Stegostoma tigrinum: one gene and its partner. The protein of the gene in region 1 interacts with the protein of each later gene in a pairwise test. Links are inferred from orthologs where the notes say so. Each region holds a gene or a part of one and is shown on either strand. Other genes may lie near its edges.

Region 1 (7,349 bases):
ACTTTGGCAGAAAGACCATAGAAGGTGGGCCTTTCCTCACTGCACCTTTGAGACAGCTGCTCCAAGCTTTAGTTTGTCCCTCAGTACGTGGTCCTGGATCTTGGAATGTGCCAGCCTGCAACACTCTGTCGAGATCAACTCCTTGCTCAGGAAGACCAACAAGTTTCGGGCAGACTAAAGAGCATCTTTTACCAAGTTGGTGGTCCTCCAGGCGCAGTCAATTTTTGCCTGGGTGTGTGTTCTGGGAACAGACTCCATGACACAGAGTCCCGCATCATGGAGCTGCTCAGGATGAACCTTGACAAAAACCATTGCATCTTTCTCTAGACAGAGATTTCCAGTTACTGGCTGCTCACTGGAATATACAAGAATTTTCGAATGAATAGAAGAGGTTCAGGACAGAGTAGAATTCTCTACCCTCCAGGACTGACTTGAGTTACCAGGAATTTAAGATTAATCTCCAGGACACAGCTGGAAACAGCCCAGGAAAATAAATTTCCAGCACAATTCAAACATAACAGGTTTCTGAATGAATAACAGGTTTTTGAACTTATTGGTTTCTTAGCTCTGAAGTTGACAGGGGAAAGGGGCGGTTTGACTGACAGCTAAGTTGTCCAATCAGGTTGTGAAAAATACATTGGCTTCAACTGGTTGGGTGAAGGGTGGAACACCCTGGTGATTGACATTTCAGTCATCCTATAGAGTAAGGAGATGGATCATGTGATGAGATCTGCAACAGGACCAAGGAGAGTAGCCATCACCTGTAAAGAGGAGAGAATGTATTTAGAATGGTGGATTTGGATCTCTGTTATAGTGATCGCAGCAAAGACCATTTATTGGTGAATATTGTTAGCTGGCTGAGTGAAAGTGGATTAAAAGGGACAACACATTGGAGCAAGATGACTGAATAGGATGAAGGCCAACGTGGAAGATAAACACCTGAATGGACTGAGGGTTCAGTTCCAATTTTGAAAATTCATAGATTATCAAAGCATCCTAAAATAATTCAACTGTAATTAATCATTTGTGATTTTACGTATGCTTGTATTTTACTAACTTCTATTCACAGAATTTATTTTAAAACATAACCGTACTCTCTAGGAGGGACAATCTCCTTGCCCAATGTGTATTATGCCTGGCAGAGCAACAAGATCCCAGTCTCAGTGCTGAGCTGATCCATAAGACCATCAGGTGCCTTTTCCACCTCCTCCAGCAAGATGCCACCACCAGACACATATTCCCCTCCCCTCCCTGGTCCGCCTCTGCAGGGACCATTTCCTCTGGGACGTCCTGGTCCACATTTCTTTCACCCCCAATCCTCCCCTCAGCCCTACGGCACATTCCCCTGTAACCGGTGAAGGTGCAACACCTGCCCATTTACCTCCTCCCTCCCCAGTATCCACGGTCCAAACATACCTTTCAGGTGAAGTAACACTTCACCTGCACTTCCCAGAATTTATTCGCTGCTCACAATGTGGTCTCCTCTATATTGGGGAAAACAAAGCATAGACTGAATGACCGCTTCGCAGACCATCTACATTCTGCTCGCAAAAGAGACCCTGAACTACCTGTTGCCTGTCACTTTAATATACTATTATGTTCCCTGTTCAACATGTCTGTCTCTGGCTTGCTACAGTGTTCTAGCAAAGCTCAATGCAAGCTGGAAAAACAACACACAATAAAAACCAAAATAACTGCAGATACTGTAAATCAGGAACAAAAACAAAGTTGCTGGAAAAGCTCAGCAGGTCTGGCAGCATCTGTAAAGGAAAAACAGAGTTAACGTTTTGGGTCCAGTGAGTCTTCCTCAGAACTGGAACTTTCCTCTGGAGAAACAACACCTCATTTTCCGCTTGGGCACCCTACAGCCTTCCAGACTCAAAATCGAGTTCAATCATATTAGGGCCTAAACTCTCCCATGTCCCAGCCCCCCACCCAACACACCAGGCCTTGTTACCACATAGCCTGCCATTACACACCACCTGTCGTTAGTAACTAACAGTCCCCCTTAACAACTATTCACCTTCCCAGCCAGATTCTTATCAACTCGTTTGTCTGTCCAACTGTTCTTCTCTCTCTTTAGGCTCTATCCTATCATTTACTCTCTACCCCACCCACCTCCCTATTTTCTGCATATAAACGGACATTTCCCAGCCACCATCAGTTCTGAGGAAGGGTCACTGGACCCAAAACATTAACTCTGATTTATTTCTTCACAGTTACTGCCAGACCTACTGAGCTTTTATAGGAACTTTGTTTTTGTTCCTGATTTACAGCATCCGCAGTTTATTTGATTTTTATTCTGTGCTGAGTTTGCTGACTGTATCCCAGGAATCTACAATTGACTTGGTGTCCCAGGGGGAAAAAGCAACTTCCACTTATTATAGAGTCATACAGCATGGAAACAGACCCTTTGGTCGTCCATGCCCACAAGGTTTCCTAACCTGAACTAGTCCCTTTTGCCTGCATTTGGCCCATATCCCTCTAAACCTTTCCCAGCCATGTACCTGTACAAATGTCTTTCAAATGTTGTAATTTACCCACCTCTATGACTTCCACTTGCAGCGCATTCCAAATACATACCATACTCTGTGTGGAAAAAGTTGCCCCTCAGGTCCCTTTTAAATCTTGCCCCTCTCACCTTAAACCTATGATTTAGACTCCCCTACCCTGAGGAAAACACCTTGTCCATTCACCTTATCTATGCTTATTCACTTTATCTCCACCACTCTCCAAGGTCACCACTCAGTCTCCGACGCTCCAGGGAAAAATATCCCGGTTAAACCTAGCGCCTCCATCCTTGTAAATTTTTTTTTGCACCCTTTCCAGTTTAATGACATCCTTTCTGTATCAGGGCGACTGGAATTGGATGCAGTGTTCAAGTACCATGGACAATGGGACCAATTGAAAACTGAGATTGCTATATTTTACATTGAGGGCTTCCCCCAACTACAGACAACAGGGTGTGAGCAGAGGGAGGAAAAGTTGACAGAGAGGAAAGAAACAAACACTGAACGATCCTTCAGGCCAAAAGACAGATTCAGCGGCCAGTACTCAAATTCCACCTGTTGTCTGTCTATCAGCCCTGGGAACAAACTCATCCAGAGGTAAATCAGAGGAGATTGTAATCCTGGGCAACCCACCATCTTCTCACCTTCACCCTGATGAAGGCTTTCTAAATGAGTGGACAGCTCACAGAATCCCTACAGTGTGGAAACAGGCCCTTAGGCACAACAAGTCCACACCGACCCTCACAGCATCCCACCCAGACCCATTCCCCTATGACCTACCTAATCTACACATCCCTGAACACTATGGGCAATTTAGCATGGCCAATCCACCCTAACCTGCAAATCTTTGGACTGTGGGAGGAAACCCACGCAGACACAGGGAGAATGTGCGAACTCCACACAGACAGTTGCCCAAGGGTGGGATTGAACCCTGACGCTGTGAGGCAGCAGTGCCAGCCACTGAGCACCGGTATCACCATTAAGGAACTTGTTGTGCCATTATTTTCCCACAGTGGGCTCGCCAGGTTGGATTTTGAAGTATGTTCAAGGCTGAGACTGATTTTTAATCAATAAGGGGATCAAGGCTTATCAGGAAAAGGTCGGAGAGTGGAATTAAGGATTATCAGATCAGCCCATGATTCCATGGACTGGCAGCGCAGACTCGATGGTTTGAAAGGCCTTCTCCAGCTCCGATGTCTCATGGTCAACTGCCCCCCAGCTCAGATGCACTAAACATAGTCTTCAGTTTGCACACCTCTAAGTGGCCCTGAAATCTGAGCTTTTTGATGTCACGTGGTGGCTGGATTTTTCCGGGGCGGGGGGGGAAGAGAGAGACAAAATTGGGACTGGGAGAAAACGTGAGGGAGAGAGAACAGAGGAAGGGGAGGATTGGGATGGGGAGGAAGCGATAAGGCAAAAAAAGAGGGTTTGGCAGAAAAGGGGTGGGGAAGAGAGATAAAGATGAAAGGAATGTGCAGCTGCACATTGGGGGTTGCAGTTATTTTCTGCGCTTTAATCCACCTTCCACAAACTCCCTCCTGTCCCTCCCCCCACAACGCCAAAATAGCTGTCCCCTTCCCTTTGCATTAAAATGACTCATTGACAGGGTCGCTCAGTGCTGGTTGTCTCTCTGCTTGCGCTTGTTCGTCCTGCAGGTCTGGGCATCGCTGGTATTCACACCCTGTCTCGCCCTCCCATCCGTGAAGCGTCAGGGGCACAGCTCAGTGACACTTTGTGGTGTTGGTGTGAGCCTCGGACAGAACGCGGGTAAGGAGAGTCACTTTTCTCTTCCTTTAGAGGATATTTACAGAGACACCAGCCATCTGCATTTCCCAAACTGAATTTAATTCTGAGACTCATCGAGGCCCTGAGTTTACACAAATCGCTCCATTATCACGCCCACTCTTGCCCTCAGTGCAGATGAGCCGCTCTTCTTTGTAAAAAAAAATCATCTCACAGCCTGAAAGGAAAGGTTAACCCCGTGGTTGCTGTCGGAAGTGTAGATGGTCTGTGATTATCACAGGGAGTTGAAATGCAGATTAACTGGGGAGTAGCGTCCAGTCAATTCTTACCAAATGCAGTCAGCAGATGTGCTTGGAAATTGATTTTTTTAAATATAAAAAAACCTCTCGGGGATCTCGGTTCAAAGACTTTCCGCCATGAAACACGAGGTTTAGAAAGAACCACGTTCTCTCAGAAGCAGGAAGCACACACTTCCTGTACATAAACATGGCTTGTTGTAAACTGGACTGGGAGGTGAGTGAGGTTTTTTTTGGCCCTGGGTATCGATTTTTTTTGTCCTGTTTCCTGACCGCACTGGCAAACGCTGCAACGATTAGTACAGTCTAACAGACTGTGACGTGTTCACAGTTCAGTTGTTAGGATATAAAACAGTTAAGGCTGCCTTCCCTCAGAGAGCAGCACCCCTCAACTGGATTCGGGAACTCCAATCTTTATTAATCCATATGCTTGGTCTTCACATTGTAGGGCTGTCTGGAGTGGGGTTTGAACCCAGTAGCTTCTGATTCAGAGAGCGATCACAGGCAGTTGCACCACATGCACCTCCACTCTCCCCTACAGGGGGTGCTCCACCGGCCCCACCCTTGTCCTCCTGGGACTACATGAACTCATGGTCCTCTGTATTAAATGGGTGCTTCCCCCTCACACTACCCCCATTCAAAAAGAGTCACATCAGCTGTATTGTTCACCCTGCCCCTTAAATGGGCCACATTAGCCATCTCACCCTCTCCAGGGCCCTTTAAAGGGACTACATTCATATCCCACCTCTTACTAAATGTGGTATATCTGATTTTTTTTTTCCTCTGTATTCTATCCCATATAGGGGGCAGATTGACACCCTCTCTCTTCCCTTCACATCCAGGACTTTGCAATGCCATGTTCTTGGAACGCTGGGTCTTCCCAGTCATTGACCGGCCTGGGTTTTCTGATATCCGTTGTGTTTGAGAGACAGCACTGCCGACCCCAGCGGGTACTGAAACTCTGGATGAGTCTAGTACCATGCTGTGGTTTGTTCAGTTATTTGGCAACATACGGCAGTGCCCAGAAATAGGAATTTGGAAATATTGTTCCCTCCCACCTCAGAGGCTCGTGTTCCAGGGATTACTTGGCTGTGGGCAGTTCCTGCCTTTGGGGCAATCTTAGAATGATTTTATGAATAACCTTAAACCGTGTTCACATTGGCCCAGAGAATGAGAACGGAGTGGATGTCACTGAATGCCAAGGGAAATATCAGTCTCTCAAAGAATTCAAGAAAGACCACAAACAAATCTCTGAGGGATATTACAAGGAAACAGAACTCCAGTGAAATGTAATTGGAATTTCTTTCTTAGGCACAGATGATTGAGATAGAGATGTAGAATAAAGGCAGAGTAATTGGGATTAACAGAGAAACAGAGAGAGAGAGAGAGAAACAGAAAATTACAGACAGAAATAGAGACAGAGACACTTTAGGGAAGCACTAAATATGAAACACAGACGCTGAGAGTGAGAAAGGCAGTGTGTGTCTCGCATTAAACTGTATCTGGCTGAGTCTGTAAGCACGCTCTCACTGTCAGTGTGAGGTCAACATGTGAAGGGGTCACGCTGCAGTGTGTGTGATCCTCTTGTCCCTCTCAAACCTGGATCCTTCCTCTCAATCTGCCAAGTCACCCTGACCTCCCAGGGTGTTCGTGCTGAGTCACGCTCTCTCAGCTTCTTCCCTCTTGCTCAGGCTCCTCCCTGGCTTTTTAACCACTGATTTAATCAGGAAACACCCAGGAGAGTGTGCAGTTTGCTGGGAGTCTTTATCCTCACAGAGCTCATTCCCGTGTAAAACGGCTTTCTCCCTGGTGTCTGATCCAACAGGTAAGCTGGACGTTTGATTGCATAAAATTAGGCTGTCATTATCCTGTCTCCCCCGCAGTGTTTTTGCTTATTTTCATTCCTCAGCACAAAGGGCTCATTTATCACGTGTGCCTACGTTTGGCGGATGGTCTCACGTTGTCTTCTCTTGAGCCGAGTCACTGTAGAGACAGTGGGCGCTATATTAACACAGGTTCCAACATGTACCACACCACCTCCTCCCCCCCCCCCCCCCTAAACACCAATTCAGCCGTCTGCACCTCAACTGGAGCACCATACCCAAACTCAGCCAACTCGATGTAAACTCTTGTAGCTTGTGTTAGACGTACAGCCCCATTACTGGTTCTCCTGGCAACCAGGGATCTCCCAGCTCATTCCCTGCTGCTCTGTTGTGGCTCAGAAGGTATCCTGGTAAACAAAGTGCTGAGTTCCATTTTTCTTTTCCTCACTCTGTTTTACCTTTGATAACTGGTTGCTGCGCAGAGACATGTGGATGGAAGGAGTAGGTCAGTATTGGTCTCAACGCTGACTTCCTTCACTTCGCCATCCTTTACGAATGTTGTCTGGATGGAGTTAAAAGGAGTAATTTAACCTTACATCTTCAAACCCACCAATTTTCTGGTTGTTTACAATTCATCAGGCCTTCAATGAGTCTCCCCCACATGAGAGACAAGACACTGGTTAAGAACATAGAACAATACAGTACAGGAACAGGCCCTTTCGCCCACAATGCACAGACCTATTCTAAACTAATCCCATTTGCCTGCATATGGTTGGTATCCTTTTGTCCCTGCCTGCTCATGTTTATCTAAATGCCTTTTAAATGTTACTAATGTATCTGCTTCCGCCATCTCCCCAGTAGCGTATTCCAGGCACCTATCACCCTCCATGTTTTTAAAAAAAAAGGACTTTCTACGCATATCTCCTTTAACCTTTCCCCATCTCACCTTAAACCTGTTGTATTTCCATCCTGGCTCC
Region 2 (7,699 bases), on another chromosome or scaffold:
TGGAAGCACGCTTTAATGACACTCATTAAATGATTCCACTACTTATAAACATGACCAGTTTGTATTTAAGAAGCAGAGGAGCATGGACTATTAACATCTAAAATAACTACCTAAATCAGCTTGTTTTGATTTTTCTTGTTTTGTCGTTATACATTTAATGTTCTGAAACGTGCATTGCTAAGAAAAAATAAAATGCATCTTTTTCTGAGAAGGGTAAATGGAATAAGTTATCTTACGGAACACTACTTGAAATATTACTGAATAAGCGCTTGTAAACGCCGTTCCAAATGAAGGGGGGAAATCGAGCTAAATATGGCGAAGAAAAGCTGATTTCTAAATTAGCACGCATCCCGGAGTAGGTAATAATTTTCTAAAATGCCTTCATGTGTAATTCGCGTGCGGGAGATGCCTTGTGTGGGCGACGTGTTATGGTATTATCATTCCCACAACAGCGCTGGCGATTAAGAAGTTCTCGTTGGCGACCTCCACATTCCCAGCCCTGTGTAATGATCCCCCTCCCGTGCAATCGGGCCGGAGTGCGGTCAAAATAACAATCATTCAACTGATATATATTCTAGAGAGAGAGAGAAAAAAATACACCTAAAAAGGAAAGAAACGTCGGCACTCAGTTGTGACAATTTAACAATAATCGCCGTTAGATCCCAAAACAAAAGGTAATACTTTCGAAACGTTAGGGGCAAAACAACATCGAAACTGTGCGGCCATCAAGTGAACGGACAGCAATTGCAAAACAAACGCATTTCGCCTTTCCAGGCAGCGCGGCTGTTGAAAAGTTCACTCCTTCGATAATGAAAACGAAATGAGATCACTAGCGTGTTGGACGTGGCGTTATCAAATCGAGCTTTGTTTCAAATAGGTTCGATTGGTACAATTTAATCTGTTCATTTAAAACCACATCACTGACCCGGTCGCGCTGGGCAACTGAACTTCGCGCGGCTGCAAGGTTTTTTTGGGGGGGGGTGGGTGTGGATTGAGGGGTGTGGAATACTTGTATCAGCTATCGGACTGCTATAGCCAGTCCCGCCAGATAGCGCTAAAGGGCTGTCTATAAGAACGTGCCTTGCAATGAACTTCTCGCCGACCACGGCAGAACATCTGCCGAAAGTTCACGTCGCCTGTTTTCTCTCTGGGTAGTGGCGAGTTTGAGGGAAGCTATGAAAGAAAAACCTGGTGCGTTTAATATATGACGGTTTACAGGTAACGGATGACCCACTCAGTGGGGAGATCTTCCTTCAGCCTGGATTTACACTGGGGTCAGACAAAGTTCACCAATAATCGCCCTCGATCTTCCTTCCTATCTTTTTGTTGTCGGGGGAGGGTGTTTTGGGAAGGGGGGGTGTGTTGGGGGGAGTGGCGGTGGGTTTTGAAATCACGATCTCTAAAACAAACAAACAACCTGTAAAACCAATACAGAGCCCGTTTAGAATATAGAATTCTTGGAAAGCTGGTGAAATACGCTGCAAACTGATTCAACTCTGCTTTTACCTCATTTCCCGAACAAGCAGAGACTTCAAACTTTTGCAGCGATGAATTGAATACATCTTTCACAATCCAGGGGGCAAGAAAACGCACGCTCCGAAACAACACACACATAAACTTGGACTGAAGTACAATCAAAATCAAATCAAAACGAGCGTTAACTGTGGTCAACGCGGAGGACATTCAAATACGTCTCTTTTTAACGAGGTCGCGAAAGTAACTGCAAGTCTCCAATATTTATCGCCTTCCTTTCTTGTCTCCTTCCTTGTTATGACTTTGTATCAGATATTGTACTTCCCAGCGTTCCATAATGAACTGATACCTTGATTTGAAACAAATTGTAACGTTAAAAGTTTATATATGGATGCTCGTAATAGTAAGCACGCTTTAGATTAGTCGGCTTTCATCCTTCAATATAGCAATACTGCGAGGTTTCTAGTCATTTTCTACATCTGAATAGAACTTAACTAAAAGTTACTCTACGAAGAGGTTTATTTCACTTGTATTTGTTTTTTGGTGATGAAAACGAAAAATCCACTTTTTACTACACGAGCAGATTACACAGCGCGGTAATGAGGCTGAGCTTCGCTCAACAAAATGAGTTTGCTTCGGAACGTAGTCACATCAATATTTCAAACGCTGCAGTTGGATAAAATACACACACACACACATTGAAGGGAGTGGGGGGACAAGGCGTGCTGAATCCAAGGAAGTTTGGAGACATTTACCATTTTGGTCGGTACACTTGCAGTTCCAACAACAACTGGCTCCTTCGCCCTCTGATTGTCTTAGTGCTGTTTTTTCTTGAAATAGATACTGAACTCTTAATGAATCTCAACACAGCTGGACTACTCTGACTGAGCAGTGATAGCTCTAACCCCAGGTTGACCCCAATTTGACACCAGAAGATGAAATTTTACCGGCTGTTAAAGCAATCTTCGGCTATCCCCTGCTATCTGTTTGTTGATGGAGATGCACTCCATAACCGGACACCGATTTGCATTATTTGAACGGCAGCTACTCGAATCCCTACTGAAATGTTATATAAAAGGCTGCATTTCGGGATTCGATTCTGAGAAGGTCGGGATATCTCGTATTGATAACAGAAATCTGTGAACTTGGAAAAAAGCATATACATAACATATTAAGTGAAGCAAAGCAACCGTTCTCTAAAACCGAAATCGAACAAGATTTGTTTAGGGAGAATAGCACTTACATATCATATGCGTATGTTATGTAAATATGAATATTCAGGAACAAAGTTGGTAACTCAGTAAATAAATAAAAGAACGGTACAGAAATGCTGTCCAGACTCTCATTATCTGCATTTGGAATTCTACTGTTTTGCAGTCAACTGTTAAACACAAGAGTGTTTTACGTTGAAGTACTTTCGTATTGTACAAAAACAAAACTTTATTATAATAAAATAGGTTTTTCTATCGATAAAATACAAGGTAGCCACTATTTATTACCGTGTTTTACTTACCGCCGTCCAGGGTCAATGGCGATTTGCAAGTCATTTGTGCTTTTATTAAATATTGACGAGTAACGTAGAAGATCATTTTCAAACTTTTGGACTCACACGAAATCCGAATGTGTACTTTGCTTTATGTTATAAAATAAAATGTCATCAATTCGACAAATAGAACACATGTCCCTTATTATTCGGGGCTTACCAACAGAACATGCCGGGCATGTTAGAAGGAAAATACCTATGCATATGGCTAGAATATTTAATCGGCGCAATCCTATGGGGTGCAACATATCCCGACATCCATACACTTTACCAGATCATGGAAATGGCACAATACCGCAGTCAAACCCATTGACAAAAAATGAGTCGGAACAAATGCATTTTCAATAGTCACCGATGACTGTCACACAACATTTACTTTTATTTATCACTTGAGAAAGTCCCCGCTCATCGCTGCTACCAGCTCGCCGCTTTAGTGCTCTAGAAAGCTTTCACGATTTTACAAAGCGCCTTGTTCCAACGCCGGGCTGCGATCAGAGAGACATTCCTTGCCGTTACCGACGAGGTGAGAATTCGTGGCCGGCTCGGTTTTCAAACTCGCCTGGTTCACGCATTGCGAAAACGCTGCAATTTCTACCCACCTTTCTTCTGTTGTCTTGTTGACTTGTTACATTAAAACACGGCAATCATTAATGTGGGGCTGGTCGGTTAGGCAAAACCATGGCAACGTTGCCGTTTGTGTACTGTTTGGCAATAAATGCCTATTAGTGAAGCACACTTACTTGAATGGCAGGACGCGGCTGTACTTACAGTGCTGCAGGACAAGTCGCAGTACAGTAGAGCAGAAGAATACTTATTAGAAGACCGTCTCGGAAGGCAGCTGGATCTTCAGAAGCTGTACGTCTTTCTCATTTTTTAAAGGGGGAAACAATGCGTAAAAAGTATTTTGAGAGCGAATTTTCGCTGCTGTCCTACATTGTCAACAGTCCTTGGTATACTCAGAGGCAGCGTCATGTTGGAATGCCTACTGGCGTTTGTCAACCGCTGCACTATGTTATTTTTTATGTGAGGGGTGTTTTCCCAAACATCATTGTTGTTATGATGCCTCGTTTAATCAAACTGTTTAATTGCAGTGGGTATTACTATCAACATCATCCTCTTAATCGTTCTCTTTTCTTTTTGCTTTATTGACCTCTTGAAGTTGCATTACTGCATCCCCGTGTCCGCGAAAAAAAGTGTACAGATTCTGCTTGCTTTGACAAAGTCGTGATTCATGTTTAATTTTGGAAATCAAATATCCCGTAGACAATGTATTTTGCCAATTTCCCCCCCCCCCCACCCCCCTGTGAAACCATCGATATGTGATGTCACACGCACAAAAGCCTGCATGTCTATTGATGAACCCAAACATTAAACGGAATAGACCGTTTCGGCCTTTGTGCGTAGGGGGCCGTGAACGAGAAGGGGGGGAAAGACAAAACTACTGCAATCGATGGGTCGACCATTGCTCCGCCCCTTAACTTCTAGCATCCCCTGTGATTGATGATCAGATGAAGCTATGATAATTGACTGCCATGATGTACGGCTGGGTGCATGAATTTGGATCCAGCGAAAGGATTGGACGAGATGCACAAAATTACTTTCCCTGCAAAGCTTTTTTTTCGTTGGAAAAGTTCATTTGTGCTCAAGGGGGTGAGGGACCACACTTAATTTTCTAAATAACACTGCAATTAGGAACACCATTATCTGGAGTCACCGCGACAAATATCTCCGCGTTACCCTGCAAACCACAACAATGCTAGGAAAACAAAAGTACAGCGGAGGACATGGATGACTGAAGGGGGAAATAATTCGAAGCCTGTTGAACTTGGGAGTCACTTACTCAAATAAAACCGGTGTTGCCTTCCCGAAGCAATCCTCTGCAAGACACACATCGGTCAGTCGTGAATGTGACCAGTTAACGAGTTTCACATATTATGTATTTGTTAAGGTACAGCAAGTCGGACACTTCCACTATTTTAAGTCATAGTTTCTGAGAATTGCAAAGGGCTTGATTTGAAGCAAGGGCTCTAGCCCTTACTTTGTGGGAAGTTCTGAAATATCCTAACATGTGAACAACTTTTTCTAAAAGCAGTTGTCACACACACAAAACAGAAAAAAAAATTGTACATACATGGGAATAATGAATCTCGCTAAGACAATGCTGATTGATTTAGAGATGTTTTACAATCTGACTTGGGGGAAGGGGAGGGGGTTCTCAGTGGGGCTTTTATTTCGGTTCTGGCTCCCCCCCCCCCCCCATGACTTGCAGCGGTCCGATTGCATAGTCTGCATATGAGAGACAGCTTGGCGTACGACTGGCTATGACCACCACTACTTCCGGGTTCCGTCATTCTCCCGCCGCCGCCGCTCAGCGCTGCCAGCGCATTATTACTGACAACACACTCACTCTGTAACCAACCAACCTCCCAACCTGCCACCTCCTCAATACTTACTGACAGCCACTTATTCAAACAAACAACAAAAAAAAAGCTACGAAAGAAGCCGAAGCTGCTTTCCACCCACTTTCTCGCTCTTATTTTTTTGTGTGCTGTTAACTCCTCGTGAACGTTTTTCATCGCTGTTTTTTTACAGTGAGATAGCGGTCCAAGACAGCGGAGTTGTTGCAACGGCAGATCATCATTCATTCAATACCTTGACAACCCTGCTTTGATTGACAGCTGGAGTGGCAAAAAGCCATGAGAGACGACAGTTTTGTTACAAGCGGGCTGTTGACGGGCCGATCGTAACCTTCAGTAATTATTTTTTTCTCTCTGGCTTGACATTTTTTTTTGCTTCTTCTGGAAAGAAAAAGAGGGAGAGAGAGAGAGAGAGCGGGAGAGAGAGAGAGAGAGAAAAAAAAGGCAAAGTTCCCCTCCTTCCTTGGGCCGCTTTAAACTGCGATAGTGGAGGATAAAGCAGAAGTCGGAAACTGGATTGGAAAAAAAAGGGATCTCGTTGAGTATCAGAACTAAAGCGGACTGGGGGATATTACAGAGACGGCACATCCAACAGTGTGGGAGCGCAGACTGATGGCGCAAAGGGTAGGTTTTCAATCTGCAACACTCACCTATCGGATAATCCTGTATCAGTGGGGCCTGTCTGAGTCCTCTCATCTACTGATGATGGCGGCCCGTGTACAACAGCAGCAATCGCAACCAAAGAAAAAATCTGTTTGATAGCAAACTCTAGTGTGCACGAGCATGTGTTGTGCTTCTTGTAGGTCTGCTGCTTTTTTTTTTCTGTTTAACGCGATTCTGTTCCCCTTTTCCCCCCCTCTCTCGCTCTCTTTCACCCCCACCCTCCCCCCATCCCCCACCTCTCCTGATCTTCTATTGATTTCTTCGATGCAGTACGATGAACTTCCTCATTACGGTGGGATGGACGGAGTTGGGGTACCGGCGTCCATGTACGGAGACCCTCACGCCCCCCGGCCGATCCCTCCAGTCCACCACCTCAACCACGGACCGCCGCTCCACAGCCAGCACTACGGCCCACATACACCTCATCCTAATGTCATGCCCACAAGCATGGGCTCTGCTGTCAACGATGCCCTAAAGAGGGATAAAGATGCAATTTATGGGTAGGTAATAAAATATAAAAGAACACTGACACGCTCCGCGGAGAGAGAGAGTTAAAAAAAAGCAGTTTATAACCAATTCAGTAGAAAGCCAAATAAAACTGGCAAGTTCAGTGGAAGCAAGTATCTAGCTGTTTTCTTTTTTTGCAAAGTTTAGTGTGCACGCACAGGGCTCTGAACTTTGTGTCCCTATTTTGGAATGAAGTCGGATCTCGTTTGCTCTTGGTTTGGAAGTGAAGCTTTGTTTTTTGCCAATCCACAAACGTTAATGATTATAGCTTTCTGGACTGACCGGAAGCTGCAAGTTTTTTTTGCACTGTTTCTGTTCTGTTAAGTTATGTTTTACTTCAAAATGGCTGCTGCCTTGTTGCTTAACTTAGTGGGGTGAATAACTATGTAGTATTGTTAAAATACAAATCCCAATTTTAGTCGGTACCTGGGAAATTGTAAGGAGCAATCCGGTTCTTCAGTTGTAAATTGCCAATTGCTGAGTGAATTGCAAGAATGAAGTGGTCTGTTCTGGACGGAGAGAGAGAAAGAGTGGGCAGATTGTCTTCATTGCCACTAGAAATCATACATAGTTTTAAGGGTTTCGTGTGCTTCAGAACTGAAAGGAATTGACCGAACTCCTCCTTGTCTTGCAGGCATCCTTTATTTCCTCTGTTAGCGCTGGTTTTTGAGAAATGTGAGTTAGCGACCTGCACTCCACGAGAACCCGGCGTAGCAGGCGGTGACGTCTGCTCGTCTGACTCCTTTAACGAGGACATAGCAGTATTCGCAAAGCAGGTCTACAATTCATCTTTTTTACAAACTGAGATACAATATGATGAGGGGAAAAAGACATACTAGCACTTATGATAACAGTCTTGCAGCAGTTTTTTCCTTAAATGTAACCTGTAAAATCGTCTTTAGGTGTACATCTGTGCAACACACAAGCATTTTAATAAATGTGTCAAATTACAAGTAATTACATATCATTTATGTACTAATTGTGTTCTACATGCTGTTTATTTAGCAAGCACACCTTGCCTTCTGAGACGCTTAAGACTTTTGCAAACTCTTAATACATTGCATTGAGCTCATTTATTTCACTTATTGTTTAGGTC

What was found. The genes of interacting proteins can lie anywhere in the genome.
Region 2: the proteins of oxidative stress-induced growth inhibitor 1-like (region 1) and meis2a interact in binary tests that used the Homo sapiens proteins (3 or more experiments, as listed by UniProt). The two-hybrid records come from large-scale screens. The link is inferred for Stegostoma tigrinum from reciprocal best matches to the Homo sapiens genes OSGIN1 and MEIS2.

The regions. Positions count from the first base shown.
Region 1 is NC_081369.1:3,054,197-3,061,545, forward strand, and holds the start of oxidative stress-induced growth inhibitor 1-like, read left to right. Parts: upstream 1-4,152; 5' UTR 4,153-4,277; intron 4,278-6,252; exon of another isoform or gene 6,253-6,374; intron 6,375-7,349. UniProt on the Homo sapiens protein: Monooxygenase catalytic activity. Involved in regulation of cytokinesis; promotes RHOA activity, probably acting locally at the midbody in late cytokinesis.
Region 2 is NC_081363.1:65,706,398-65,714,096, reverse strand, and holds the start of meis2a (homeobox protein Meis2a), read left to right. Parts: upstream 1-4,577; 5' UTR 4,578-6,045; coding exon 6,046-6,057; exon of another isoform or gene 6,058-6,066; intron 6,067-6,366; coding exon 6,367-6,596; intron 6,597-7,237; coding exon 7,238-7,379; intron 7,380-7,696; coding exon 7,697-7,699. UniProt on the Homo sapiens protein: Involved in transcriptional regulation. Binds to HOX or PBX proteins to form dimers, or to a DNA-bound dimer of PBX and HOX proteins and thought to have a role in stabilization of the homeoprotein-DNA complex.